Cricetulus griseus: one gene and its partners. The main gene of each other region encodes a partner of the protein of the gene in region 3 in a complex. Links are inferred from orthologs where the notes say so. Each region holds a gene or a part of one and is shown on either strand. Other genes may lie near its edges. The genes, in order: Tada2a, Cxxc1 and Wdr5.

What was found.
Region 1: Wdr5 (region 3) and Tada2a share a complex: the UniProt entries of both Homo sapiens proteins name them as parts of the ADA2A-containing complex. The link is inferred for Cricetulus griseus from reciprocal best matches to the Homo sapiens genes WDR5 and TADA2A.
Region 2: Wdr5 (region 3) and Cxxc1 share a complex: the UniProt entries of both Homo sapiens proteins name them as parts of the SET1 complex. The link is inferred for Cricetulus griseus from reciprocal best matches to the Homo sapiens genes WDR5 and CXXC1.

Annotation. Positions count from the first base shown.
Region 1 is NC_048600.1:97,382,337-97,392,553, forward strand, and holds the start of Tada2a (transcriptional adapter 2-alpha), read right to left. Parts: upstream 6,021-10,217; 5' UTR 5,876-6,020; intron 3,843-5,875; 5' UTR 3,752-3,842; coding exon 3,727-3,751; intron 1-3,726. UniProt on the Homo sapiens protein: Component of the ATAC complex, a complex with histone acetyltransferase activity on histones H3 and H4. Required for the function of some acidic activation domains, which activate transcription from a distant site. Binds double-stranded DNA.
Region 2 is NC_048595.1:165,567,625-165,577,223, forward strand, and holds Cxxc1 (CXXC-type zinc finger protein 1), read right to left. Parts: upstream 8,602-9,599; 5' UTR 8,261-8,601; coding exon 8,258-8,260; intron 7,587-8,257; coding exon 7,468-7,586; intron 7,368-7,467; coding exon 7,267-7,367; intron 6,943-7,266; coding exon 6,707-6,942; intron 6,619-6,706; coding exon 6,433-6,618; intron 6,069-6,432; coding exon 6,042-6,068; intron 5,965-6,041; coding exon 5,719-5,964; intron 5,561-5,718; coding exon 5,453-5,560; intron 5,286-5,452; coding exon 5,101-5,285; intron 4,829-5,100; coding exon 4,621-4,828; intron 4,540-4,620; coding exon 4,429-4,539; intron 4,301-4,428; coding exon 4,251-4,300; intron 4,098-4,250; coding exon 4,001-4,097; intron 3,802-4,000; coding exon 3,649-3,801; intron 3,567-3,648; coding exon 3,420-3,566; 3' UTR 3,120-3,419; downstream 1-3,119. UniProt on the Homo sapiens protein: Transcriptional activator that exhibits a unique DNA binding specificity for CpG unmethylated motifs with a preference for CpGG.
Region 3 is NC_048599.1:139,187,003-139,197,148, reverse strand, and holds the start of Wdr5 (WD repeat-containing protein 5), read right to left. Parts: upstream 5,177-10,146; 5' UTR 5,026-5,176; intron 1,641-5,025; 5' UTR 1,553-1,640; coding exon 1,472-1,552; intron 874-1,471; coding exon 765-873; intron 501-764; coding exon 427-500; intron 1-426.

The DNA of each region.
Region 1 (10,217 bases), on a different chromosome or scaffold from region 3:
ATTATCTCATTAAAAATTCAACTAGAAAGCCCAGCAGCAGTGGTGCATGCCTTTAATCCCAGCACTAGGGAGGCAGAGGCAGACAGATCTGTGAGTTCCAGGCCAGCCTGGTCTACAAAGTGAGTTCCAGGACAGGACAGGCAAGGCTACACAGAGAAACCCTGTCCCAAAAACAAAAACAAATCAACTAGATAGAAAACTAAATCTCCCAATTACATGGCCTAGAACCCATTACTATTTCATATGTAAAAAAATATTTATGGTTTTGCTAGTGTTGGGAATCTGACCTGGGACGTTGTACATGCTAGTCAGACAGGCATGCAGCAGCAACCACTGGGCTATAGTCCTAGCCCCAACTAAGATATTTCTGACAGCTGGGTGGGTGGGTGGTGTGGGTGTGGGTGTAGGTGGTGGTGATCCACGCCTTTAATCCCAGCATTCAGGAGACAAGCAGGCAGATCTTTATGAGATCCACACCAGCTAGAGCTACTTAGTGAGACCCTGTCTCAAAGAAAAAATATTGACAGTTTAGACTGAATCCTCTAGTATGACAAGTATACACAAGTCAAGAGGAGGCTGTATTCTGTTTTGCTGAAACTTGACCATGGATTACTAAGACTTGCAGCATTTCTTAGTCACTAACAGCCTGAATCATCCTCAATTTCTCATGGTAAGATGCAGTGATTCAACCTCTGGGTCTCAGCAGTTGAATGCTTAAGTCATCATGTCTCTTTCTGCTTTTATGTCCTGCCCCCATCCTTCCAAACCCATTTTTTTTGAGACAAGGTTTTACTGTAACTCAGGCTGTCCCCTGAACTGGAGACAATCCTGCCCTCAGCACCCAAGTGCTGGGATTACAAACATGTGCCATCACACCTGGGTGTAATCATGCTAGTTTACTATAAATTATATTATTTCATTGCAGACTACTCCTTTTACTATGGAATCATTTTTATTCTTGAAAACATGTATCTACATATTCCATTTTCAATTAATAGACTTGAAAAATAACAAAAAATAACTGGGTTGGGCTGGAGAGATGGCTCAGAGTTTAAGAGCACTGACTGCTCGCTCTTCCAGAGGTCCTGAGTTCAATTCCCAGCAACCACATGGTGGCTCACAACCATCTATTATGAGATCTGGTGCCCTCTTCTGGTGTGCAGATATACACGGAAGCAGAATGTTGTATACATAATAAATAAAACATTTTTTAAAAAGTTTGTTTAAAAAAACTAATAACTGGGTCTAAAAGGTTGAGAACTAATCTTAACAGTGCCCAAATAATGGCCATATATGCACTTATGATATCATCATTTTACTTCTCAGTATGGCCATATATGCACTTATGATATCATCATTTTACTTCTCAGTATCTTTGATATGTACATTTTACATTTCTCCCTCTCCATGTATTTTCTTAAAACTAAAATTATTGAATGCACAAAGGACAGATCTAGGGTTTTGAAGGTTTATTTTATGATTATATTTATTTATCTACTTTGTGTATATTCCAGTGGGCAAGAAGGAATTATGTAACATGAGCATACCTGTGTTACATAACTCACAACCACCTGTAATTCCAGCTGCAGGGGCTGATATTTCTTCTAGACCTCCATGGGTATCTGCACTCATACGTATATTCCAACACACGTAATTAAAAACAATAAAATAAAAAAAAATTCTGAGGAAATAGTTTTAAAATGTGACTAAAGCAAAAAGAAAAAAAAAAACACTCTAAATGGGCTGGAGAGAAGGCTCAGTGGTTCAGAGCCTATCATGTTCTTCTGGAGGACTCAAGTTTGGTTCCCACCAAGCAACCAAACACACTGCACGGCTCACAACAGTTGCAACATCAGTGCCAGGGGATCCTGACACCTTCTGGCCTCCTCAGGCACCTGCACTCACATGTACATATTCCCACACAGATACACATGATTAAAAATTAAATAAATCTTTGGTGCTGGAGAAATGGTTCAGCAGTTAACAGCACTGACTGTTCTTGCAGAGGACCAGGGTTCAATTCCCAGCATCCATATGGCAACTCACAACCATCTGTAACTTCCTTTTTTAGCCTCTGAAGGCATCAGGCACACATGTGGTGCACAGACATACATGCAGGCAAAACATCCATACACATAAAATAAGAAAGAAAATTTATAAACAGGGCTAGAAATATGGCTCAGTGCTTAAGAGAGTTTATTGCTCTTGCAGAAGACTTAGGTTCTGTACCCAGTACCCATACATCTGTAACTCCAGTTCCAGGTGATCCCAAACCCTTTTCTGGTCTTCATGGGTCCTGTAAACACATAGTGCACATAAACTCACAGAAGTGAACACACACACACACACAAACAAACACATCTTTACAAAACAAAAACTATAAAGCTGAAAAAGCAAGTAAACTGGAAGAAAATATTTGCAAATCTAGAGAGAAAAAGTCTGAAATTGTTGTTTTTTTTTTAAATCTTCATTTTTATTTTATGTGTATGGGTGTTTTAGCTGCATGAATGTCTCTGCACCATGTACATGCAGTACCTGTGGAGACCAGAAGGTGTCAGCTCCTCTAGGACTGGAGTTGCAGACAGTTGTGAGCCCTCAGTTGTTGCTGGTGGTCAAACTTAGGACCTCTGGAAGACCAGCCAATAACCTTAACCACTGAACCATCACTCAAGCACCTGAAATTCTTTTCATTTTGTTTTTTGAGGCAGGGTTTCCCTGTGTGTAGCCTTGGAGCTTGCTCTGTGTCATCACAACATGCCTTAACAATTCTGTTTTAAAAGATGGGAGTAAACTGGGTAGTGGTGGCACATGCCTTTAATCCCAGCACTCAGGAGGCAGAGGTAGATGGATCTCTGAGTTTGAGGCCAGCCTGTTCTACAAGAGCTAGTTCCAGGACAGCCTCCAAAGCCACAGAGAAACCATGTCTTGAAGCAAAACAAAACAAAACAAAACAAGATGGGAGTAAACTTGGTAGTGGTACTTTAATCCCAGCCTTTGAGAGACAGAGGCAGGAGGACCTCTCTTGAGTTCCAGGATAGCCAACACTGTTACACAGAGAAACCCTGTCTCAAAAAACCAAAACCAAACCAAACGGTATGGATAGTTTCAGTTTATACTTGGAGCACTGTTGAACTGAAAATGTAGAAGTAGATATGTCCAAAGATTCTTCTTTTCTAAATAAATGTAGAGAAAATGCAGAAGGCCTTTAAGAAAATGCAAAGAAACAAAACCTGAAAAATACATTTCTGGTTCTTACTGGGTTACTAATGATCTACTTTGTGACTGCACTTGTGTGTGTGTCCGTGTATGCACAAGTGTGTGTAACCTAATTTTGTGATTTCTATTTCTTCAAAATCTAATGGTGGCACATGTCTGAATTCTCAGCACTTGGGAAAATAAGTAGGTCAAGGTCTTCCTTAGCTATGAAGCCAGTTCCAGGCCAGCCCAGCTACATGAGGCCCTGGGCTCAAAAATAAAAGTGTTTTAAATACAGATCAATCACACGGTGGCTGGTTCACTCAGCCTGGTTTTATTCTAAGACTTGAGGTGATAGATACATTTGTGTTATCTTCAGTAGGCAACCAAAAGGTACTGGCTGATTTTACTTTTACATGACATTAATTCTTTCAGGCATTATCAATCAACTTCAAAGGCGTTGCTTCCATGATCAACTTCTACTTTAGTTTGCTATTCATCTTCACTTGAGACTTGCTCCATGGTACTTACTGCTAAAGGAACCCAAACGGTCCATTCTCTAACTGACAGTGAGGGCTGTTATTCCTGATCTTCCTTGATAGGGAGCTTCTTCAAGACTTCAGAAGTGGCCAAAAATTAACGATCCCCTAAGAACAAACAGAAGAGCCACATGGATCAGAAAACCATTCAAAGTAGGACAGTGGTGGTCCTTTAATCCAAGCACTCGGGAAGCAGAGGCAGGTGGATATCTGTGAGTTCCAGGCCAACCTGGTCTACAGAGCTAGTTCCAGGACAGCTAGGGCTATTACACAAAGAAACCCTGTGTCGAAAAACCAAAGGAAAGAAAAGCATTCAAAGGTCTATTACAAGTAGCACCTTCAACCCTGTCATGCCAGGAGTTTATGATGCTGGGGGACCTGCTCTTCCTCTACATACCTGACTGTCCTTTGTATAAAAGGGGTCTGATGCAACAAGCTCAACCTCAAAGTTGTGAGCATTAAATGTATACTCAGCTATCTATATAGCGTAGCCTTGCTTTTGAAGCAGACTCACTATGGTAGTCCAGGCTGGCATCCAACTAGGGAGCCTGCCTTAGCTCCCCAGGTCAGGGGTCAAAGGTATGTTCCACCACAACCAGCAAATGCTGTGAATTTCTTCTTCTTCTTTTTTTTTTTGCTTTGGAGCCTATGGTGGCACTCGCTCTGGAGACCAGGCTGGCCTCACAGAGATCCACCTGCCTCTGCCTCCCAAGTGCTGGGATTAAAGGCGTGGGCCACCAACGCTCGGCTTATGAATTTCTAATAAACAATTCTTTGCTTTCTCTGCCAAGTATCCATTCCCTTAGGCTGGATTTACTTTGGTGAACTGACGGCAAATGGTGGGGTAGCCAAATCACAACACTCAGACCTCCATGTTCACAGAATTTAAAGTACATCCTTCTTACAAACTCTGCAACTTGCTGGTGTGGTGGTATATAAAAATCCCAGTAGGCAGAAGGCAACAGGTCTCTGTGAGTTCAAGACCAGCCTAGTCTACATAGTGGGATTCTGGGATGGCCATCATTACATAGTGAGACCCTGTCTCAAAAAATAAATTTTAACCTGAGTTTTATTACTGGAGACCATGAAATTCTACCCAAATCAGGTAATGGTGGTGCATTCACTTAATCCCGGGACTTGGGAGGCAGAGGCAGGCAGATCTCTTGAGTTCCAGTCCAGCCTGGTCTACAAAGAGAGATCCAGGACAGCCAGGGATGTTACACAGAGAAACCCTGTCTCGAAAAAAACCAACAAGAAACAACAAATTTGAGGCAGGTTTCCTCTGTGTAGCTCTGGCTGTCCTGTCTAGACGAGGCTGGCCATGAACTCAAAGGTCCGATTGCCTCTTCCTCCCGAGTACTGGGATTAAAGGCGTGCTCCACAACCACCCAGAAAAAAAAATGAATTTAACAAAGGAATAGTATACATCCAGGAATAAAACAGCAAGCCAACATCCATATGGCTGGAAATAAATGGTATCACTGTATGTGGAATAAATCTTGGAATCCTAACAATCTCCTGGAACAGGCCATTTTTTCCAAGGAAAGGAAGCGCTTTCTGGGGCATTGGCACCACGTTTACAGGCTGGTGAACAGCGGGGCCCTATCAATAGAAGCTTACACTGTAAAGGATGCTAGAATACTCTCTGGCAAACACTCCACGTCACAAAGCACAATGCTGCGGAAAGCAAAAATCTTTCTTCTCCTTTCTTAAAAAGCCCACGCAGTGATACTAACATCCTTGAGAATCGGGCTACATTCAGATTAATTACTAGAGGAAGGAAGGAAGGGACCGAGGGGCAGGCTCCCGGAGTTGCGGGCTTGGCGGTTGTGCAGACAGCATCCTTACAGCCGTATGGCCTTGGGCAAGTCATTGTACTAGCGCCTCGGCTCGCAGACGCTGCTCAACACTGGCTCGCCGAGACCCACGTGGGGTTCGGCGGATCAGGTGGGCCGGGGCCGCGCTCCACCGCGCAGCCGGGGACACTGAGGTGCCGCACCGCCAGCCGCTCAGGAGCGGGAGGGGGGAGGGGCTGGGGACCGGCGGGCCGCACCCGCCTCGCCCGCCGCGTGGCCCCGCCGCGGCAGCCCGCACCTCGTGACCCCGCGTGCCCTCGCTCCGCCGCCCGGCCCGCTCCTCACCTCGCCAGGTCTAGCGCCTCGGCGCCCAAGAGCCTCCCGCTGCGCGCGCCGTCCAAGTTCTCCACGTGCGCGCCCCGGCCTGCGTGCGCGGCCCCGAATCACGTGCGCGGCCCCGGACCACGCCGTTGCGAGCACGCCGCGTCTGTCCCGCCTCCACCCCGGCCACGGGCGGGCGGGTCCCGGTGGCGCTGCCCCGGGATGGGGCGAATGATGCTTTCCCGCTCGCCAGCAGGCCCTGGAGTCTGATCTGCTGTCACTTTTCCTGTCGCCACAGGAGTCCCGGTGCGGTGCTCTAAGGTGGTCCCGCCTGGTTCAATCTGGATTTTCTCATAACAATCCCACTCCAGTCCTGTTGCAAGCGAGGAAACTCAGGCTGCCCAGGCGCTGGGCCTGACGAACGCAAGCCACTCATGGATTACTCAAACTGAATGCCTTGAGGGGTGAAGAGGGTACTTTTCATTCTGATGCTTCTGGGACGTCGAAATTGCCTTCTCTGGAAAGACCCAGCCCCTCCCTGAGCTTCAGATGCTCACATGGAAGTGCAGTGATGATGTGGTGGTCCACTCTGATGTCAATCTTGAGGGCTAGGTATGTCCCAACATCTCTTATTACGACTAGTAGAGATTGTTATAAGAGCTTCCATTTGTGGAATCCTTCCTTTCTGTATGCCAGGCATTGTACAAAACATTACACCAACAACTTTCTGAGGGATGCACTGTTCCTGTTCCCATGGTCCAGCTGAGGAAATCTAGGCACTGGAATATATAACTTAGGATCACATTGCTACCAAGTGCTGGGGAAGGGATTCCAACCATGGTTGGTCTGAACTATTATGCTGTATATCTATTTAAAACTCTGTCTTACAGATTTACCCAACTTCTGTTAGAATTCAGTTATACACTGCCTGTGTGGCATCTTTATTCTTTTTTTTTTTTTTTTGGTACAAAAGTAATATAAGTCCATTGTTAAACAAAAATCTCAGCTGGGTGTAGTTAGTAGCATACATCTGTGATCACTACACTCAGGAGACTGCAGGACAATTACCATATGTTTGAGTTCAGTCTAGGCTACAGAGTGAAAGATCTGTCTTAAAAAAAAGAAAAGATTAAAATTCACATGTGAAAATCACCCCACCATGCTAAATAAACAGTTAATGTTTTTATGTATTTCCTTCCATGCACTTTCCTATTTATTGTATCAATATTATATGGCACTTTACATTTTCTGAGTCCTCAGATCTATTCATTCATTTGGCAAATACACAATGAACAGTTCACTGTTCTAGGTGCTGAGAATTTGGTAGTGAGCAAAACATATTCTCTTGCTCATAAGGCTCATGAATTACATATGATAAAAGATGAATATATTATATATAAATAGTAAGTATTAAAAGATGCCTCATAATGTGGTTTTATAGAAAATTAATTGGAATCAAGAGATAACAGTGATACAGAGATTTTCTTTTAGTCTGGATGGGGAAGAAAGGCCTCTTAGCAGACACAGCACACAAGCAGAAATCTGATATTTAATGAGAAATGGAAGCTAAGTAGATTTCTATAAAGAACCATAGATGAGAGAGAGCAAGTACAGTGTCCCTGGTACATGGAAAAGAAGCAGGGAGGCCAGAATGGCTGGAACAGAGCTGATTAAAGAAATATAACCAGGACCCAGATCATGTATATTTGGTAAACTTTAGTTGGATTGCAATGGGATGGGTTAGAATTCCATAAAGGGTTGAGATCAATATTCTGTTATTTTTTGTTATTTGGTTTTGGTTTTGGTTTTTCAAGACAGGCACTGTCTTGAAAACATAATCTCTGTATCTTTGGAGCCTGTCCTGGAACTTGCTGGCAGGCCAGGCTAGCTGGCCTGGAACTCACAGAGATCCACCTGTCTCTGCCTCCCGAGTGCTGGAATTAAAGGTGTGCACCCCTATTGCCTGACAAGATCAATGTTCTCAAGAAAAGCATAGTGGCTCATGCCTGTACTCCCAGCACACAGGAGGCCAACCTGGACAACACATAAAATTCCAGTCCAATCTGGTGTGTAAGATCCTGACTCAAAAAAAAAAAAAATGGATAATTAAATTGGCCAGGGGGGGATGAAAATTAAATTATAAACTAAAATGTATCCAAGAGGATACAACAAAATATAATGTCATATATGTGTGAAAATGACATAATGAAACCAATTATGAATAGGCTAGCTTAGAAATTATTGCAGTAAGAATTAAAATGTTCAGGGGCTGGTGGGATGACTCAGTCTGTGAAGTCTTTGAATTTGAACTTCAGTACCCATATAAACCCCTAGATGAGGTGATGTGTGCCTGTAGCCCCAGCACCTACCTGGAAAGGAGACAGGAGGATCCCCTAGGGGCATGTCGGTTAGACAGTCTGACTAAATCAAGGAACTTCAGGTTCATTGAGTGATACTCTCGAAAAATAGAATGAAGAGGCTGAGGAGATGGCCGAGTCAATGAAGTACCTGCAGCACAAACTTAGGAAGCTGAGTTCAGATTGCCAGCACCAGTTCTCCATCCACTAGTAACCCCAGCACTGGGTAGAGTTGAGACAGGCACACTCCTGGAGCTCATTGGCCAGCCAGCCTAGCCTAATAGATGAGTTTCAAAAAATAAGAAAGACACCCAACATCAACTTCTGGTCTTCATATATAGAGGCACATATGGGCAGATAAAACACACACACACACACACACACACACACACACACACACACACTCTCTCTCTCTCTCTCTCTCTCTCTCTCTCTCTCTCTCCAAAATATAAAAAATAAAATGTCCAGTGAAAGGAAGGGTAACACTGATGGAAGCAGCACTTTCCTTGGTTTCTTCCTCAAACAGTGTAGTATTAGTGGCATTGCAAGACCATCAGAAGAAGGGAGAGTCTAATTGAAGGAAGACGGACTTGGAGGAGAAAGTAAGTTTTGTTTGGCATCTATGTTTTGCATACTAACTAGAAATGACAATAGGAGTCTACGCTTAGTGGAGAGTTCAGTACTCATTGTGTAACGAATAGAATTGTTTCTTTGTTTGTGCTTTCCTCAGCTTGAGAACAGACTGTCTTTTCTCTTTGTAACCTCTGCGCCCAGAAAGGTAGGGCCAGCAGATAATTGGTGAAATGAATAGAGACAAAGGTATGGCCAGATATAGTGGCATACACCTTGAATCCGGGCACTCAGGAGTCAAGTGATAGGAGGGTTGCTGCAAGTTGAGGCCAGATTGGTCAATATCTCATCGTCTAAGCCAGTCAAGGGTTACATAAGGAGTTCCTGTCTCAAAACAAAAACAAAAAACAAGGCAAAAGGTACAGATAGTTACTCAGATAAAATGTGTGAGATTTAAAAAGAAGACCTGGGATTGGAGAGATGGCTTAGTGACTAAGAGGACTGTGTGTTTTTACAGAGGACCTAGGGCTCACACGGTAGCTCACAACCACCTGTATCTCCAGTTTTTAGGGATCCAATACCTTTGACCTCCATGGGCACGGAGCATGCAAGGGATACACATACATGCAGGCAGAACACTTACACACATAAAATAAATCTAAAAAATGTTTCAAAAATAAAATAAAAAAGCTGGGCGTTGGTGGCGCACATCTTTAATCCCAGCACTCAGGAGGCAGAGGCAGGCGGATCTCTGTGAGTTCGAGGCCAGCCTGGTCTCCAGAGCGAGTGCCAGGATAGGCTCCAAAGCTACACAGAGAAACCCTGTCTCAAAAAACCAAAAATAAATAAATAAATAAAATAAAAAAGAAATGGACTCTCTACTTTTACTGGATGTCCAAGCAGCTGAACATGACTTACAAGTAGAGTGACCATAATTCCTGAATTGATCAGGCGGTTCCTGGTTTATTCCTGTTGTTGTTACTTAATTATTAATATTGCCTTGATTCACTAAGATGTACCTTGCTTTGTACAATACATCTATATATCATTCTTTGTAGAAAGCCCTTCAAAATCTATCACATTCTCACTTTCTTTTGGTGTTATGTTTTGGTGCCAGGGATTGAAACCAAGGCAAGCAGTCTGCCACTAAGCTACGTTTAACTAACTTCTTTGTTCATCATTTTGTAGTCAGTTCCCCAGCTCCATGGAAGGACCTCCCGTTCTCATATGCACTCTTGCCTCCTGGCTTCCTTTGACGAGGGAGGGCTTTACTTCAGCTTGGCTGTCACTTCTCCAGAACCTTTCTCCTGACCCTTCAAAACTCTGAGTCCCAGCATACCCTGTATTTAACTTCAGAACAAAGATGTGCCTTGTTCCTCCTCTTGCCATCTCTGTAGAGAAATCTGGAAGCAAAATGGACACACAGCAATTTTACATAT
Region 2 (9,599 bases), on a different chromosome or scaffold from region 3:
ATGGCACCCCACATTGAGTGTCATATGTAGGTGGATTTTTCTTTGGGCTGCCAGCTCACAAAAAAATGACAAGACTTACTATTGATTATGAAAGCTCTGCATATAGCTTAGGTTTGTCCTACTAGCTCTTATAACTTAAGTTAATCCATTTCTATTCATCTATATGACTCATGGCTTTTACCATTCCTCCTGCATGCCTTGTTCTCCCTGCATCTAGCTCACAACTCCTCCTTTCTTCTTCCTAGAGCTCTATCTGTCTGGAAGTCCTGCCTATACCTCCTGCCTAGTTATTGGCCATTTGTCTTTTTATTAAACCAATCACAATGGCACATCTTCACACAGTATGAAGTAATATTCCATAACATCTGTGGATTTGATCAAGGTTGATAGAGATCAGATTTGATCAGTGGAGACCCCCTGAAAATGCTGGATACAGATATAAAGAAATAAATCTTAATAACTATAAGACAGGTGATATATATTTTATATGCTCAAACATAAAACAACAACAAAAAAATCACCTTTGGCTGGCTTGTGTTCAATGCAAAGTCCATACTTGTGTTATTACAGATATGAATGTTAACTTTAAAAGTTTTATGTTTTCAGAGTAAGGGGACCAGACACCAATGAAAGTGTGTGGCTCAGGTGGTCCAGCCTCTCAGAGTGCCTCTGTTGCAGTTTCCTCAGAGTTCTGCATCCAAAACAGTTTCAAGGATGTTGGCAGAGATGGTCCACTCTCACAGACTATATTCTAGCCAGGACTTCAGATGAACCCTGCATTTTCCCATTACATAAGAGACTGGGCAACAAATGATATACAGCTAGCTCTCCCAGAACTTGACCATTATCCCAATTTTCTCAGGTACCCTAAAGATGCCATCACCCCCCAGATAATGGGAAGCCATCTAGAAAACATGATACCCACATTTCCAAGAGTTGGAGTAGGTGGTTTTGGGTCATTCAGTGGGTTATGGATGTTTGTCATTTTTTTGGGGGGGGGTTCCAAATTGTTATTAGTCGTGGTCAGTAAAATACTGAACAAAGGAAATTAGTTTCAGGGATTTCTTTCTGAAGGAAAAAAGGGAGATATGATATAGAAATGATGTAATAAAAGGGTAGATTGTTTAGTCTACTTTTGAACAACCACTGGTCTCAAATATCTTACACTGGTATGGATTTTTGTATGTTGATACAAATTTATTGTTACTTTTGTTATACTGTATTATATGTTCCTATTTCTTAAGATATTGTACCTATGCAGCTCACTTAAAAATGTAATGTAAAGTTTCAGTCTTTGAAAACTATTTAGGTTAATAAAGAAAAACAGATTAGTTATTAAGGTCATTGCTCTTCTCTTCCAGGGGTCTCCAAGTTTTATTAGCATTTGCTGCATTGGTTGTAGCATCCATCTAGGTACGACAAGTATGTTGTTGTCTTAGTTAGGGTTTCTGTTGCTGTTACAGAACATTATGCCCAAAAAGCAAGTTGGGGAGGAAAGAGCTTATTTGGCTTATACTTCCTGTTCATATTGAAGGAAGTCAGAACACAGACTCATGCAGGGCAGGAACTTGGAGGCAGGAACTGATACAGAGGTCATTGAGGGATGTTATTTACTGCATCACCTCACATGTGGATCTAGGCACAAAGATATCAATTGTTACAAATACAAGTCTACCTGTCCTATCACTACCCTGAAGTTAACCTTAGGAGATATAATAGATAATCTTTCATGCTTGGCAACATCTAACTATAGTTTCCAAAAATCTCCCTTCTCAGAACCCTGCAGTATCAAAAGCCTACTTGGCACTGCAGGGAACCTGGTTAACCTGTATTTACAAAAATGGATGGCCTCTGACAGACTACAAGAGTCCTACCTTTTGTGTTTGCCTGACAGACTACAGGAGCTTTACCTTGTGTGTTACCATCCATTGTTTCTCAAGTTATATGCTTACAATGGCCCCAAGAATGCTCAGCACATTTTCTCCTGGCTTCCTGTTGATCTTTATCCGAGTAAGACTTAGACCAGCTGAAAAAGCAGCCCTAATGATTACCTTGGTAAGAGGTGAAATTGGAATATCCTAGATGACCCATAAATCCACGATATAGGATAGGGGATATAGGACAACTACAGACTTCCATTGAAATGCTTCTCAATCAGGTTGAAATCTTTGGCTGAGTTAGTTTTACTGAGTTGGAGAGGGAGAGATTTATTGTTCATGTGTTGGAGAGATCTTTGTGTATCCTTAGGAAAAGCTAGCTATTTATATGCATCATTCCTTAAAAAAATACACCCTACAAAGTGGTCAAAAAAAATCTAAACATCTGATGAGGGAAATCCTTCTCTATATACGTTTCTCTTATTGGTTAATGAATAAAACACTGGTGGCTGATTGGCCAGGCAGGAAGTGACATAGCTGGGCAGAATCATAATATAAGCCGGGACAAACAGGAAATCACTCCGTTCTCTTCGGACATGCCACCGGAAGATAATGAGTCAATGCTTTGACTCTGCTAAGACCAGCAGAGAATAAACTAACCAAGGGAATCCCTTTTTGCTTTAGCTGACACCATTTTGTGTGCTTCACGCAACCACCCTTCATCCTGGCTAACTACACAATGCTTAGAACATTCTAGTCTAGCCATACTTGTAGTTTTAGGAAGTCCATTATTTTAATCCACTAGAGCATTTGAAACCTTTTTTTTTTTTTTTTTTCCAGACAGGGTTTCTCTGTGGCTTTGGAGGCTGTCCTGGAACTATCTCTTGTAGACCAGGCTGGTCTCAAACTCACAGAGATCCGCCTGCCTCTGCCTCCCAAGTGCTGGGATTAAAGGTGTGCGCCACCAATGCCCAGCTGCATTTGAAATCTTTTAACAGAAACTATTGAAACTTCTGACACCTGGCCTGTCCCTGGTATAATATAACTGTGGATGGGGCTTCATACAGATCACTGAAATTTCCTCAAATAGGTCACACTGTCACAGCCTAAGGGAGCACAAGATGAGTCCGCTGGCTATCCCAGCCTGCACATTTACCACAGTCCCTCCCAAGACAGATATGCCACCTCTACCTTGCCTGGGACCACAACTGAAAATAGAAGAATGGAGACTATCAAGAGATCTCCTGTTGGTTGTTCAAAATTTTTAATAACAAAACCCGTTTATTTAGGGGATGGGTATAGGCAAAGGTGAGTAAACGCCACAGTCTCACCCCAGCACTGAATATGGAAAAGGACAGATAGTGAAAAAGGGAAATCAGAGTCCCATTAATAAGGGCAAATGTAAGCCAGAACATAGATGGACACAGGGATAAAACTAAGGAGCAGTGGAATAAACAGATGAATGGAGGAACAGAAAGCCGGTGATGCAGGGCCACTCCCCTAACTGGAATGCAGGGGTGAGGGGCTCTGGGCTGGTGAAGCTCAGCGGTCAGCACTAGATCGAAGGTCGGTAGTGAGTGGGTCATGTTGGATCGTTTGGTGCAGCATCAGGGCAAGTAATCCTGCTCGGTTGGTCATGGCTGTGCGAACATTACGTTCCTGCTCAAACAGCTCGTCCAGCTTATACCACTGCCAAGGAAGTGGAAGGAAGCATAAGAACCAGCCCCCGGAGCTCAGGCTGACTGAGGTCACACCCAATATTAAAACCTACCACCCGGACACGCTCTAAGTCCACTTCTGCACGCCGAAGCTTCTCCCAGCAATAATGGCGATTGCACTGGCGCTTAGGCAGACGGCAAAAATCACCTGTGAGTTCAAAGACATCACGTACAAGTGGACACCCACAGACCTCATCAGCGGGCACCTGCAAGGACACCAAGGGCAGAGGTGATGAGGTGAGAGGAGGAATGGAGAATCTGAAGGAGAGTGAAAAGGAAGCAAAAGGAGAGGAACTGGAGATGATCAACAGGAAAGGGAGGAAATGGAAGTTGACAGGAAAAAAAGAGAAGGAAAGGAGGGACACGAGGCAGGGAAGGATGCAGGTAACTGAAGGAAAACCTTACTTTGGGGTCCCGTGAGTGCTCAGGACATAGCACCTGGAGCCGCTTACAGTATGTTTTGCTCTGGGGATTGTAGACGTCACAGAAGAGTCGGGTAGCCCTGTCAGAGATTAACAGGAGAGCAGCCTTGAGTAGCTCCTTGACCACTTCAAAGGCCCACACTCATCTCTAGCACCAATTCCACACATAATCCCATTCCCAATCCCCAGCCTTAACCACCCTTCTCTTAACACTCTAGGGCACCATTACTCACCCTTCAATGCGTGTGGGGTACATGGACCCAAAGGATGTCTGGCTCTCATACTGGAAGGATGAACACAAATAAAAGGACTTTGGGTGCCCTCTCAAGATACCACCCATTCAACAAATCTGTGGGCCTTGCAGGCCACTGATATCCCTACACCATCCACTCTCTCACACTGGCCCCTGACCTTGGCATAGCAACGCTCCATGTGACGCAAGGCAACACGTGGGTTGATGGGATGTCCACAGGAGACACAGAAGATCTGTAGATCTGTGTCGTCACTGTCATTCTCATTGTTCTGTATGGGGGAAAGAACGATGAAACCAGGCAGGACAAGGTACTGGGTCCTGCCCAGCGATGGCTATACAACTCTTTTTACCTCCTCATCCTCACGCACAGCCTGCTGCTTAGCACGAAGAATGATGGCCTCAAGTTCATGGAATCTGCGTTCCATTTCTTGAAGACGGGTTCGGGCACTCTGCTGTTCACGGCGGATGCGTTCCAGGAGCTTCTTGCCATGTTCTTCAGCAATGCAGGGGCTTTGCTGCCACTGCTGGATGCGCTGCGGGAGAATCTCATAGATTCGGCTGCCGGGAGACAGTGAGGTGTGGGCAGAGAAGCACCAAAAGCAGTAAGTGGGGTGATCAAGGGACAGTGAATGGATAGACGATGAACAGGTTCGAGGATGGGTGGCTGAGTGTGTGTGTGGGGGGGGGGGGGGCAGGCGGTAACTGAATGGTGGGTTCATGTGGCCAGATGGGGGTTTGATTGAACAGTACATAGACAACTAGCTGGAGGGAAAGCTCTGGTCATGCCTGCTCTACTTCCTGACTACCTTCAGTGCCCCAGGAAAACTCACTTGGCTGCCAGCTTCATGCCACAGTCATCTGAACAATACTTAGAACCAGGCTGGGCAGCATGCACACAGCCAGGCCCCAGGCACTGCGGTAGTGATGCAGGGTCCTTGGCATCAGCCCTCTCTGGGTGTTTCCATTTGTCTTTATGCTTCTGCTTCTGTCGATGCCGTTTATATCTCTCCTCCTTCTAAGGGGCAAGACAGGTCATGTCAAGGTGCAAGAGAGGTCAGCCTTGGGCCTGATCTGCCTTTCCACTCCAGCTTTTTGGTTCTTCCCCTATTCAGCCCCTGACTTCTCCATCTCCCTCCCTGCCCCATCCTCTTCCTTTTCCACCCATTTTCCCCTCTCCATCACCTTCTTCTCAGACTTCTTCTCTCGACGCTTCACGTGCTTCACTTTTACGGCCCGTTTCCTCATTGCGGGATCCAGGAATGGGGACTCTTCTGCGTCACTCATCCAGGGCTGCAAGAAGGGCATGCACTGACCCACCTGACCAGCTCATGACCACACCACCTACCGTTTCCCAAAGCAGCCTTGGGTGCCCTCTGCCTCCTCTTTCCCATGCTGTGACTTCATCATCTCCTGTTCCTCCCCCACCACAGGATGCTCCTGCTACTCACTAGGCCGTGATCATCAAAGGCTCCGGCACAGAAGTCCTGGTACAGGTCAGGGTCCAATGCCAGGTCCTCATCTGAGAGTGGCTCGGGTGTTGCTGTAGCCTCTGGCAGCTCCTTACCCACAGATGACAACACTGTCCCCTCATCTTCACGGATACGCCCCAGCTTCTGGGATGGCTGTGGCTGCTGTTGAGTGGGTGGTGGCCGGCGGGGCCTTGGCAGGGCCTCTGAGGGCGTCACCGGCGAGAGCTGCGGGGCAGAATCTCAGGACTGGCCCTGACCGCCCTGCCCGCATGCCCTGCCCCGCCCTGGGGGGCTGGACTCACCGAGGAAGGGAAGTACTTGTACGATTCCTGTGCGCAGGAGGAAGGCCTAGGTCAGCCCCAGGAAAATGATGGGTCACCCTGTCCTATCCCCAACTACTCATCCTTGCCTGGTCTACACAAAATGTTTTAGCCCTCCCCTCACCTCAGACATACGCTCAGTCCTACCTGTTGTGCCCTGGCATGCCTGACCACCTAAAAATATATGCCCCTGCCAGCTAGTTATGTCATGTGGCATTCACCTGAACATGCTAGGCCCCCTCCCACTCATCTGGACATAATGAGGCCCCACCCCACCCCACCCACACTTTCTCATTTGTAGCTCAAGCAGCCCTACTTGGGCCTCCCAGCCATGCTCTCCCACCTGAACCTACCCAGCTCTGTCCATGCTTACCCGTGCCCGCAGCTGACACTGGCGAAGCCGGCACTTCTGCCGGATCTTGTTGGGCCCCCCGAACTTCTTCATGTCACGGCAGAAATCACAGTGGCCACAGTCCTCAGTGCGCCGGCATGCCTCACACTCACCACACATTCGGGCTGACCGTTTGATTTGTTGCTGTTGCTGCTGCTGCTGGTGATGCTAGGAGTCAATGCGCAGGATAGACATCAGGAACCCAAATGGGGCCCAGAGCAGAATTTTACCCACCCCAACCACCGCAGTCACTCACCTGGCTAGGTGTAGCCACTAAGGGCTGTGGAGAAGATTTGTGGGGCGAAGCTGAGCCCCGAGCAAGCATGGTCCCAACCCCTGTCCCTGACCCTGCCCGGCGCTGCAGGTCTGGATCTGAAGCAGGCCTCTTGCGCCCTCCTCCCTCATCCCGGGGCTCACTGCCGTCCCGCTCACTGCCATCCCGTTCCCGGGATTTTTTGTGTCGGTAACGAATCTCCAGCTTCGGGTCCTTCTCTATGAGGCAAAGAGTAAGACCAAAGTGGGTTTGTGTGTGTGTGTGTGTGTGTGTGTGTGTGGCGGGTGGGGGGGGGATATGAATGATCCCAAAACCTCTTTCTCTGTTCCCACCCCAACTACTTCTCTGGCTCATGTTATAGGCGAGAGCTGCCCTCTCCCTTTAGGATCCTCCATTATTGCTCACAATGGAGTTGGTATTCCAATACCCCAAGGACCGACAATCACTCTGTCCACAGAGGACACCTCGATTACCCATGAGCCCTCCCATTACGGTTCCTCTTCATCTCTTGGAGCCCACCTGCCTTCCCCACTGGGCCTCACCTCGGCAATCCCGACAGTACCATTCCCGGATGGCTTTGGCCATCTTCTCAGTGATCCTGATGCAGTCCCCATGGAACCACTCATTGCAGTTGTCACATCCACTGCATATAATGGAGCAAGTGGTAGAGACGTGAGGGGTGGGCTTCATCGGTGCTCCCCAACCCCGCCAGGCATCAGCCCACCCACCTCTCCCCAGCTCACATCATGAAGCAGTTGATGTCTGGTTTTCGGCAGATGCAGTAGATGGGAGCATTCTCCCCATTCTCAGACTTGCTGTCCTCTCCAGCATCTGGAGGCTCCAAGTCTGAACCGTCTCCATCCTGTGAGACCCACCCCCAATGATGACTCCTTAATTCCCGCTTACAGCTCGACCACGGCTCAACACAAGTTCCTACTGTGTCTTTGGACTTCCTCCCTCTCATAGATTCCCATCAGCCTCTCCCTCACAGATCGCCCAGACCCTCATCACTCAACCCTGGGCCTCATTACTTTGCTTATACTGCTCTCCCATCACACACATCACTGACAAGCATCCTGTCACTCTTAACTGCTCATCACAAACACTTACCACATTGCCGCCTTCAAGAGTTCTACCCGGATATCTCTTAATTTGTTGGGCTGTCGTCCCATCCCGGCTTCCCACAAGTCTCTATAACTTAGCTCACAGACCCCCAACCCCAATGACGGTTTTTCAGAGCCCCTGTAAATACTCATGGCCAAGACCTTATCTCTCTGACCAAGGATCCTCACGTGAAGGCTTCCCACAAAACTGCCACCTGCAGTCTCTACTTAAGTCCCACTATGGACCCCCTACAACGGTTCATCAAAGAACTCACAGATGGTTCACTTCAAACCCCATCACACACCTTTTCCCATCGGCCCCCAGACTCGGCATCCACCTCACCAGAAGCCCCGTGCGCCTTGCCAACAGGCAGCAGTTGCCAACCCCACCGACCTCTGCCTCGGAACCGCGATCCAACCGGATACTCACCATATCTCCTCTCACAGCGCACCCGCTCTGGACCCCCGGCAGCACCCAGCGAACCTGAACGAGCCCCTAGGCAGCGTCCGCGGCGGTGGCAAAAGCGCCCACAACCACTTCCGCTCCTGGTCCCGCCTCCACGGCACCGCACTCTGAGTCTTCTCGCCCAGAACGACCGCTCAGCAGCAGACAAATAGGTCGCCCAACTACAGCCGCGAATGTCGCCCAGGCGCCGCCATCTTAACCATGGAATCCGTAAGGTAGCGAACACCGTACGTTCCGGGAGATATGGCCGCGCCTATCTGCAGGTCCTCGGAGCGCGCCGCCACCTTATCAGTCAAAGTCCGTACGGTGGCCGCCAGAGGGCAATATGGCCGCGCTTGCTTCGCAACTGCGACGCAGACGTCATCAGCTGTTTACGCCTCATGGGGCAGACTCCGTACGTTTCTAGGCAACGAATGGCAGCTTCCGGTTCACGGCTGTCAAAGGGCGTGGCCATCACCATAGTTGACTGTACACTGAGTGCTGCTGCCACGGGCAGGATAATCCTGTTACTGCCTAAATCATGTCTCATTCATTCCTCCATCCAGTCATTTTACCCTTCCACGTTTATAAATGGGATGCCAAGGCTCCGCAAAAGAAATAAATATCGTGTTGTAACTGCCCAGTTGTTTACCCACTTTTTACGCGCCTCGTCCCTCCTGTTTTTCAGCCAGATCTGGCTTCATTTTCCTTTTGTTTGTTTTATTTTATTTTATTTTATTTTATTTTTGAGACAGGGTCCCTCTAGCCCTGACGGTCCTTAACTCGCTGTGTAGACCAGGCTCGCCTTGAACTCAAGCTAACCATCTGCCTTTGCCTTTCAAGTGCTAGAATTAAAATAGTGCATATATATATATATATATATATATATATATATATATATATATATATATGTTTTAAAACTTCGTAGTGGCACACGCTGGTAATCCCAGCAGAAGTGGGAGGATGGATGAGGTTAGGAAATGCAAATTCACATCCTACCTGGACTACAATGTGAGTTCAAGGCCAACTTGGGTAATTTTGAGACTTTGTCTCAAGAAGAAAATAAGAAAGACATGCAGCCGGGCGTTGGTGGCGCACGCCTTTATCCCAGCACTTGGGAGGCAGAAGCAGGTGGATCTCCGTTCAAGGCCAGCCTGGTCTACAGAGTGAGTTCCAGGACAGGCTCCAAAACTACAGAGAAACCCTGTCTCGAAAAACCAAAGGAAAAAAAGAGAGAGAAAGAAAGAAAGACATGGAAGGAAGGGAAATGGAGAAGAAACAATGAAAGAAAACAGAAAAGTAAGGAAAAGAAATAGGTGTATACTCC
Region 3 (10,146 bases):
AGCACTACCTATCTATGCACCACGACTTCAGGAAATCTTCTGGCCAGTGTTAGCACAAGACATCTGGCCCAGAGCAAAAGGCTACTACCCTCAGCTCCGCTAGGTTTCCTAGACTCAGTCACCTATGGAGGCTTAAAATCCTTGCACCAAAAACATAAGGCAGCCACGTGTGGTGGTGCAAACCTGATTCTGAGGCAGGATGATTGCCAGCCTGAACTATATAGTAAGACCCTGCGACCACCAGCATTAAAGACAGGCCTGACAAGCCAGGAGGTGGTGGTACAGACCTGTAATTCAAGCACCCAGGAGGCCAAGACAGACAGATCTCCAAGTTCAAGGTCAGCCTAGTCTACAGAGTAAGCTCCAGGACAGACAGGGCAACCAACCATCTGGCTCAACAGCCAGTGCACCTCACAGGAAACCTACCAGCTTGTGACCAGATATGGTTTTCTCAAACTTTCCATCATATGCTCCCCATATTTTAATGAGTTTATCAGCAGCTGAAAGAAAAGGAGTTGGAGTTAGAAGAGGTTGTAGCTATTCCCCTAAATAACAGGGCCTAGGTCACTCAGTGAAGTAAATGTAGACACAGGTAGCCACTCCACCCCACGCCCACCCACCACTTCATACAAACAGGCAATTGCATGCTGAATGCTAACAAACCTATGGGAGCAGTAAGAAGTAGCAGTCAATGCCCACACCACCAACCACCTTTCCTCAGCTGAAGCTCAGGCTTTCTAGCCAAAGAACTGAAGGATACTCACATGAACTTGCCAGCCACTCCCCATTGGGGCTGAACTTCACGGAGGACACAGCTTTCGTGTGGCCAGCCAGGGTGAACTTCAGAGCATAGTTTGGCTTAACAGGTGTAGGCTGTGGGAGACAGTACCAATTAGCCAGAGGCTACTACCACTACCCAATCAACTCACTTGATGCCCAAATTTTAATTATTAGCTGGTTCCAAAACTCATACACAAGCACTTACTACCACCTTATCTGACGTCACACTTCAAACTGTCAGTGTAACCCTATCACTCTCTTCAAAGCCCCTTCTTCCTCTGGAGTCCCTACCTCAGCACACCAACAATTTGTAATTTTTTTTAGCCAACTAGAGTGGTACATATCTTTAAATTAATCCCAGCACATGAAGGGGAGAGGGAGGAGGCAGAGGCAGACATATCTATATGAGTTCAAGACTAGCCTGATCTGCATGTTGTGTTCTTTACCAGCCAGGACTATAGGAAGACTCTACCTCAAAACAATCTGTACTTTTTGTTAAACTCCACCCCCACTGTCTTAGGTCTGGGAATCTCTGACAGCACCTAGCATTTGGCTCTGTGTGACCACTGCCAGGTGGCCAGAAACTCACACTGCCAGCATACCTCACTGGGCAGAGCAGCCTGCACTAATAAAATAACATCCCCAAGAATCTCTCCAGCCTGTCTGCCACAGCGGTCCCTGTGGGACATACCTTGCTCTGTGTGGCTGATGAGGAAGGGGTAGGCTGTGCTCTTGCAGCCTCTGTCTCTGGCTTCTTCTCCTCCGTGGCCATGGCTCTGATGCCCACCGGGCAGGACACCGTGAAGGGGGAGTCACAGTGGAAGAGGCTGTCAGCTAAAGCGTACGCTACAGTATAGGGCCTATAAACAAATCCTCTCTTTAAAAAAGGTTACTGGGAGGGGACTGAATGCTGTTCCAGAGGACCCGACTTTGATTTCCACTTGTAAAACATCTTTAAGTCCAGTTCAGAGGATCTGACGCCCTCTTCTGGCCTCTGTAGGGACTACATACATGTGGTACGCAGACATACAAGCAAGCAAGACAAAACAAAAACACACATAAGATAAATTTGGCCAGGTATAGTGGCACACGTCTATTTCAGCATTTGGGAGGCAGAAGTAAGTGGATCTCCGAGTTTGAGATGGTCTACAGAGTTCTAAGACAAACAGGGCTACACAGAGAAACCCTGTCTCAAAACAACAAAAGGTTGTTGGGGATAAGTATAATAACTCAACCAGAGAGCATTCACCTAACATGCATAAGACCACCATCTACCCACCCACCCACCCTGCCAAGTATAAAAGCAATCATTCTCAGGAAAAAGGGAAAAACATGACCACTATATTGAACCCTGCAGCTAATAAACTGTTCCAAGCTAGGCATCCTTTAACTGTCACCCTGTCCCAGGGCTGAAGCTTCGAATGTTCTGTGTGATGACCCGCTCTTGACCTCTTTGTGAGCTTAAGAAAAACTTGACCCTCAAGGCAGCTTCCCATTGCAGTACTAGATGTGTACAGGCATGTGAGCTTTGCTTCAAAGAGCCTTGGGCACAGTTTTTAATTAAAAAGGCTTTCTGGCCGGGCATTGGTGGCGCACGCCTTTAATCCCAGCACTCGGGAGGCAGAGGCAGGCGGATCTCTGTGAGTTCAAGACCAGCCTGGTCTCCAGAGAGAGTTCCAGGATAGCCTCCAAAACCACAGAGAAACCCTGTCTCGAAAAACCAAAGAAAGAAAAAAAAAAAAAAAAGGCTTTCTGACAGAAACTGACAGGCCAAGTGACAGGAGGTAGACCTTCTGTGCAGAAGTTTGGGAGCTTACCCTAAAATGCACCCAAGGAATTTGATCATGAAAACACAGGCATTATGAACCCAGTGGCCACCACCTCACCAGCTGCTCCCTATGATCTCACAGGCTGCAGGTACAAAGCTGCCTTCTAGAATAAGCTCACAGAGCTCAAGGACTCAGTGCCCACAGTACTACAAAAGAGCTACAAGAGTAAACCAGAGTGGTCGCTGCCTCCACAGGTTTCCTCAGGAGGAGCAGCGAGAACAGCAGTGAACTGCAAACTAGATACATGCTACTGTGCAGAGGAAAGTAGTTATTCTGGTCAGCACTCAGCCTGAAATGTGTACACCTGCAACAGTTAATTCCATTGCAGCAATAGGTCCATCACCTGGATGCACCACACAAAAGCGCACCATGTGACTTGGAAATGAAGTAGTAGTCCTCAAAGGAGAACTACTAAGGCATACTTGCAAATGTCAGTCACTGGTCATGGATTTCTCGGCCATCAATATAAGAATGATGATGTAAATTCTAGCTTTGAGGTTAAACCTGAAACCTCACACAGACCCCATGTAAAGACTAAGGCAAATGAAGGACACACACAAAACATGTCTCAAAGTCTTCAGTCCTAGAGGAGTAACAGTTACAATGCCCACCACAAAGGGCACAGGTGCAGCCCAGCTGTTTTACCTGCAGCCCGTTCCATCACGGTCATAGCTTGCTGTAGCTCAAGCCCAGGTGCAAGGACTGGAGGAGGATAGATCCCCTAGGTTCTCCAGGGAACAAAGCTCTGGTGCCCAGGAAATGTCAGCTGTTTGGTGTTTTTAGCTTTTTGGAAGCAGGGTCTAGCTATGTACCTGGTATTCAAAAGCCTCCTGTTTCAGCTTCTGGGTACAGTTGATGTAACAGGCATATATCAATCACCAGGCCTGACCAGGAGCTTATTCTTTTTTTTTTTTTTTCCCCGAGACAGGGTTTCTCTGTGTAGCTTTGAAGCCTGTCCTGGAATTAGCTCTTGTAGACCAGACTGGTATCAAACTCAGAGTTCCGCCTGCCTCTGTCTCCTGAGTACTGGGATTAAAGGCATGTGCTACCAACGCCAGGAGCTTATTCTCAATGAAAATTTGGCCATATCATGGATTCTCACAGCTACCACTTCTGCTGACCATACAGGTAGCAGGAGGAGCTGAGGATGCTGAAAGTCCCTTTCACAAAGCCCAGCAAATCTCCCCAGTAAAAGGACAGGGCAACAGTGTAGGGGAGGTCTCTTGGGTGGGAAGGTTCTGGGAACTAAACAGCTTCTTTTAGATAAGGAGATTCACCTAGCAGTGGGTGGATGACTTTGCAAACAAGTGTGCACCACCACCCTCCCCACCCCGCAATACCCTGTGGACAGACAGGGTCTTTCTTCAAGATGTCAAATATTAACATATGAAAGCACCACGCTTTAGGCCACATTTGGGAGTCTCTGAGTTCAAGATCAGCCTGATGTACAGAACAAGGTCCAGAACAGCCAGGGCTACACAGAGAAACCCTGTCTTGAGGAAAGAAAAAAAAAAAAAATCCCACCAACTTTAGCCAGTCTTCCTCACAACATTCCGGAGGCTGGAGGCTCAGGAGTTCAAAGCAGTTAAAAAGAGATGCCAGCAACTACATAAGTCTGTCTCAAAAGAAATCACCGATTTCCAATTTCACTGGGCAGAGTCCTAGACAGAGCATCTAGGTGTGCAAGTTTTAAGCCTACGGAAAAGCAGGATTGGGGAGGACAGCTCTGAGAGGAAGGTATGCTAAACAGAATACTCGGAAGGTGGCTTGGGCTTTATACTACAGTGAGCCTGGCCATGGAAGGGCAGCAGTCACTACTCTCTCTCCAATCGAATGCAGATTCCTGGATGGCACTGAGTGCACAAGTGTAGAAGAGACAGAATGTTTCACTCAGGTGATTGCAGCTGGCCAACCCAACAAAGAGCTACAACCCATTCTCTCTGGGTTCTAGTACCTTGGTCCTAGTAGCCCTGGCTTCACACCACTGTGTGCTGACCCAGACAGTGTTTACAACCCCCTTGACTAGAGTTAGGCCTCGTCAGGTAGAAATTTGCACTGGAACTCAGGTGAAGGTTGTGCTGGCAACTGGCAACATAAGAGAGGCGCCAAGTGGCCAAGGAAACCTGGGAGATACTGGCTGGGTGAAAGACCGTGAATCCCACCCCCAAGGACACCAGCCTGAGGTGTGCTTCGAGGAGCTCGCACGACTAAGGGTCTAGTGGCGCAGTGGGGGTTGTCGTGGGAGGAGTGGGCCATGACGACCACAAGGGGCGGTGGGGTCGGGGCGCGGCCCCAGAGGCGGCGCCGGGCCCGGCCTGAGGCCCATGGAACACGTGCGGCGCTGTGGATCCCGGAGCCCGCTATCCCTCGTGGCCGCCGCCCGCCTCGCGCCCAAAGGGCCGGCTCACTCTCTTACCTGCCGGGGCCGCGGCGGCGGGGCCGGGCGCTCTGGCGTCGCGTCGGCTAGCTCTGCGCGCGAGAGCAGACGAGCTCCTGAACTAGGCGGCAGCGGCGCGGTACGCGGGCGGGAGTGCGCGTGCGCGGGGGGCGGGGCAACGGGCGGCGACGAGGGTCAGAAAAATTAGAGGAGGAGGAGTGCCTTAAAGGGGCCGCCGGCGGCTCTCGCTTCCTGCTTGACAGCTGGGATCCATTGGTTGCAGACCCGTGGTGTCTGCAGTGAAGGATGGGACGGAATGTGCTTTTGTGATTCTCCTGTTGTTCCATGCTGTGTCGCCAAGCTGATAATTACAGCTTGGCCGTCCTGGCCTGTGACTGCGCTGGGGTCTTGGGAACCCTCTCGGTGCCACTGGTGGAGGTCCACGAGGTCCGGAAGTCCGGAGCTCCTGCGGCCTCCCCAGCCTACCGCAGGGCGGGGGCTTCCTGCCGCTACAAGCCACAGCTCAAGTTGGACACATTTGCCTCGCCTCTGAGCTAGGCGACAAGGAGGCTGTGCTACGCAGCCCCATACTCAGAAAAAGGTCTTAGAAACTATCGCCGCAAGGCCGGGCGGTGGTGGCGCACGCCCTTAATGCCAGCACTCGGAGGCAGAGGCATCTGGGATCTCTGTGAGAGCAGCCTGGTCTACAAGAGCTAATTCCAGGACAGGCTTCAAAGCTACACACAAACCCTGTCTCGAAAGAAAAAAAAAAAAAAAAAAAAAAAAAAAGGAAGGAAGGAAGGAAAAAAGAAAGATGAAAGGCAAGTGTCCCTAACACAGGGGCTCTAGGTCCTCTCGCTATGCATGCATCTGGAACCACTGCATCATTCAGTTGCTCCTTAGTTTGGGTGCCCAGAGATCACATTCCAGGCAACCGCAGTATCCACTACAATCCAGCTCCTGTATGGCTCAGAGGCTCATTTTAAAGTCTCTGTTTTCACCGTAATTCTCATTTTCACAAGACAGCTCCAGACAGGCAGGATGCCCGAATTAAGCAAAGTATTCACAGCCCCCTCTCCTGTAGGCCACCTCTACTCCTGTCACTAATGGAGGAAAGACCCAGAGAGGACACAAGGACATAATGACAACCTGAAGACAGGCTGCATCTTCATCTTACTATCTAACACACATGGTCTTAGAATCTTGGAGATGGTGGCGGCCTCTTATCTCCCAGTGTGGGAGTATCAAATATAGCATAGGAACCTGTGCAAAGGAAGTGAGCCTTTGGAGCTGAGAATGTGTGTGGTTCCCATAGCTATAGGAGTGAGAGAAGACTGGCAACTGGCCCAGAATCCCCTTCCAAAGAGGACACAGAAACAGCCGATGTGATACTGTGTGCCTAACAAACCTGATCCCTATGTTCGGAGCCCTGAATGGAGCAGAGTGTAAGGTGGGAAGAACAGTATCTCCCATATCTGCCTAGCTGCCTGGACTGGAAACCAAACCTAATTCTGAACTTCCTTCTGCTCAGATAACACTCAAATCCTTCCACTTCCATCCTCATCCTGGCTCTACCTAATATGCAGCCTTTTCCAGATTCCAGCCAGAGGAACTGCTAAAATGCAGGTCTGTCTGGGGATGTAGCTCAGTTGGTAGAGTGCATGCAAGAAGCCATGTGTTCAATCCCCAACACCCATAAACCAAGTGTGGTTGCACAAGCACTAGGAGTTAGAGGCAGAGGATCAGAACTTTGAAAGATCATCTTTAGCTACATATTCAATCAAGACCAGCCTGGGAGGCCCGAACGATGACCCAGAGCCCTCAGATTTCCAACTTTCGCTCAGTGGATTTGAATGTCTTCTTCTCAAGGGAAACAGCCTTCTGGTTTAAGTGGGAAACTTCACCATTGTTGTCATAGCACAAACCCTGAAACCAAGTAACACAGCAGGGTAGAGCTGTTGTTGGGGTCAGAGGAAACACTGAAGGAAGACCCCAGACTCAAATAGTAGGTAAGAGCAAAGAGCATTTATTACTATACCAGCATATGTAAGGCTGTTCACCTGCACAAAAATAGCAATGACCCCAAGAAGCGTGTGCAGGCTTCCTTTAAGCACAGTTAGGGGAATTTTAGGGACAGTTAGGTCATCTCAAACATAGTTGGTTAAACAAGCAGCATTACATTAGTACACTTTTTTGTTTTGTTTTCTACAAGACAGGGCTTCTCTGTGTAGCTTTGGAGGCTGTCCTGGAACTAGCTCTTGTAGACCAGACTGGTCTTGAACTCCCAGAGATCCACCCGCCTCTGCCTCCCCAGTGCTGGGATTAAAGATGTGTGCCATCATTACCTGGCTTTATTTATTATTTTTATGTGCTGGTGTATGTACCCGCATGAGTTTATATGCACCACATGTCTACAAGAGCGCAACAGAGGCCAGAAGATACATCCCCTGGAATTGGAGTTGCATGTTGTTTCTAACCTGAAATGTGGGTGCTGGGGATAGAACCAGTTCTTCTACAAGAGCACCAAGTGTTCCTTACTGCTGATCCATCTTAGTCCCCTAGCAATTCTTATAAATACAACATATCTAGAAAGTTCCTCTCCCCTCTCACTTAAAGCTCTCATAACAGCCAAGCAAACTTCCAACAGCCAACATCCATTTGGATTTGCCATCTGGATCCCCAGATAAATGAATACGACAGCACAGCTGCTAGTTCCTTCTGAAATAAGACCTTTTATTGCAGTCCCTGGCTCAGTGTCCCCTGGGCCTGTCTGAGGTGGATCAGAATTCTCACACAACAGTCTTTGCAGTTGGCAAGGGAAAGGAGATGGAGGGGTGACATCTAGTAAACACTGAATAATTGTATCCCCCCTCCTATTTAGATGGATGGGTGAGTGCATGAATGGATGAATATCTAGACAGATGATTATGTGGATGGGTGTATGGTAGACACCTAAATAGAAGGGCAAGTATGTGTCTAGATGGATGGATCAGTGGATGAATGGGAGCCTAGATAGAAGAGAAGATAGATGAGTGGGTATTTGGTAAGTAAATAGACAAATGAATCTATGGGGAATATGTAGAGGTGAGTGAGTGGGTACAGAAGGCACAGGTAGGTTCTTGTAGTCACAGATAAGCACTAAGGAAACTAAGAATGTTGAACATTCAGGGGGGTCTCCTCCATGGAAGAAATAAAATTCCTACTTTCCACCCAGAAAGCTGGGAGTGGATGCTGTTAATGACCTGGTGACCTTTGCTATCTATAGTGCCAGACCCAAATCCCCAAATGTTTACCACAGACTCTCCCTTCCTAGATGTTTATTTTTAGCACTTAGTTACCAGAAGCCACCCTTAGGTGAGATGCCACATGTACTTTATAGCCTGCTGACCTCTATCTCAGTCAGAGACCACACCAGATCCTGGGCCTTTAAGCTAGCACAACTTACCTTAAAGGTCACATGTACTTTGCAAAGGAGTTTCTATGTAGCCATGACTTAAACTCTATTGTGCACCTGGAATTGGAGTGATGGTTGCCTGAAAACTTTTTTTCTCAAATTGTGCTGAATTTAAATATGCTTACATCAAGGCAGTGGTGGCTCACACCTTTAATCCCACCACTTGGGAGGCAGAGGCAGGTGGATCTCTGTGAGTTTGAAGCCAGTCTTTTTTTTTTTTAATAATTCTTTTTTATTTTTATTTATTATGTATACCGTGTTCTGTCTGCATGTCTCCCTGCAGGCCAGAAGAGGGCACCAGATCTCATTATAGATGGTTGTGAGCCACCATGTGGTTGCTGAGAATTGAACTCAAGACCTCTGGAAGAGCAGCAAGTGCTCCTAACCTCTGAACCATCTCTCCAGCGCCCGCCAGTCTTGTCTATTGAGAAAGCCTGTCTTGGAAAACCAAGAACAAACAAACAAATAAATCTGTGTGTTCGAGGCTAGTTCGAGGCTAGCCTGGTCTACAGAGTGAGCTCCAGGACAGGCTCCAAAGCAATGCAGAGAAACCCTGTCTTGAAAAACATAAATAAACAAACAAGCAAACAAACATACTTACAATAAACTGCTGGCATCAGACTCCTAAAGTTTGATCCAGACCAACAAAATTAGGCTGAATCAAGTTTTTAACTCTCAGGGACAAGCGGTTCAATTCCCTGCCTGCCATGACCCTTGCAGGGATCCTTGCAGGTAGGTGGGGAAGAAGTAGGTGGGTGGGTGGGTGGATGGATAAGGGATAAACCGTTTGGCTCTCCAAGAACGAGAGCATCCCAAGTGACCAGGCATAGAGTGGGTGAGTCTAGTTGTGGCATAACTGGAATTAAAACCATCACCTGCTATAGGAAGACTTTAATTTTTAGGGAAACATCATTTTGTTGCCTAGTGAAGACTGTTTCCTTAGCAACAGTGGGACCACCCAACCCAGAGAGGATGTGCTGTGCAGGTTAAGGAGTGGCTCAGTGGTGAGAATGCTGTGCCCCGCAACAGGGGCAGAGGAACCTCTGGCCCTTTAACTGAGTTCAGAGCTTTGAGGTAGGGTAGATTCCGATGGATGGCAGTTGAAGAGGGCGGGTCTGGAAACCGAGGGACCCTAGGTCCCAGGGGTTCCAGGAGCTGCCCCCCACCCCCAGATTCCCTAACGGGACAGCAGGCTCTACTCATTCCAGGAGTTATAACCCTTGTCAGAAGAACCTGATGCTGAGTACCAGCCCAGGTAGGTAAAGAGTGGGTTGTTTTGATGTGTGTGAGTTCTTCTCCCTGGCGACCATCTGGGGGGGACAGCTGGCAGGTTTGGGGGGTCTATAATACCATCTTGGATACTTCTGTTCTTAGCAACTCCATGTCAAATGCTTTGCTGCTCCTTGAGTACTGTGTGACCAAAGCCAGCCGTTCTGCCCTGCTTCAGGTTGGCTGACAGCTCATGTGTCCAGATAACAGCAATGACAGGGACAAAGGCACTGCTCCATGCTGTCACCTCTAAATGCCTGAGGAGTTTCTTCCCTTGATCTATTAGGGAGGTCTAGTTAGATAAAAACCAGATCCTTGGCTTCCATATGGAAAATAATTTCTGAACTAGTCAATATGAAGCAGAGTCAGGGATTATTGAAGATATTTTAAAATAAATTTTAAGCAGAAGGGTTAAGAGAAAGACAGGATCTCAGAAA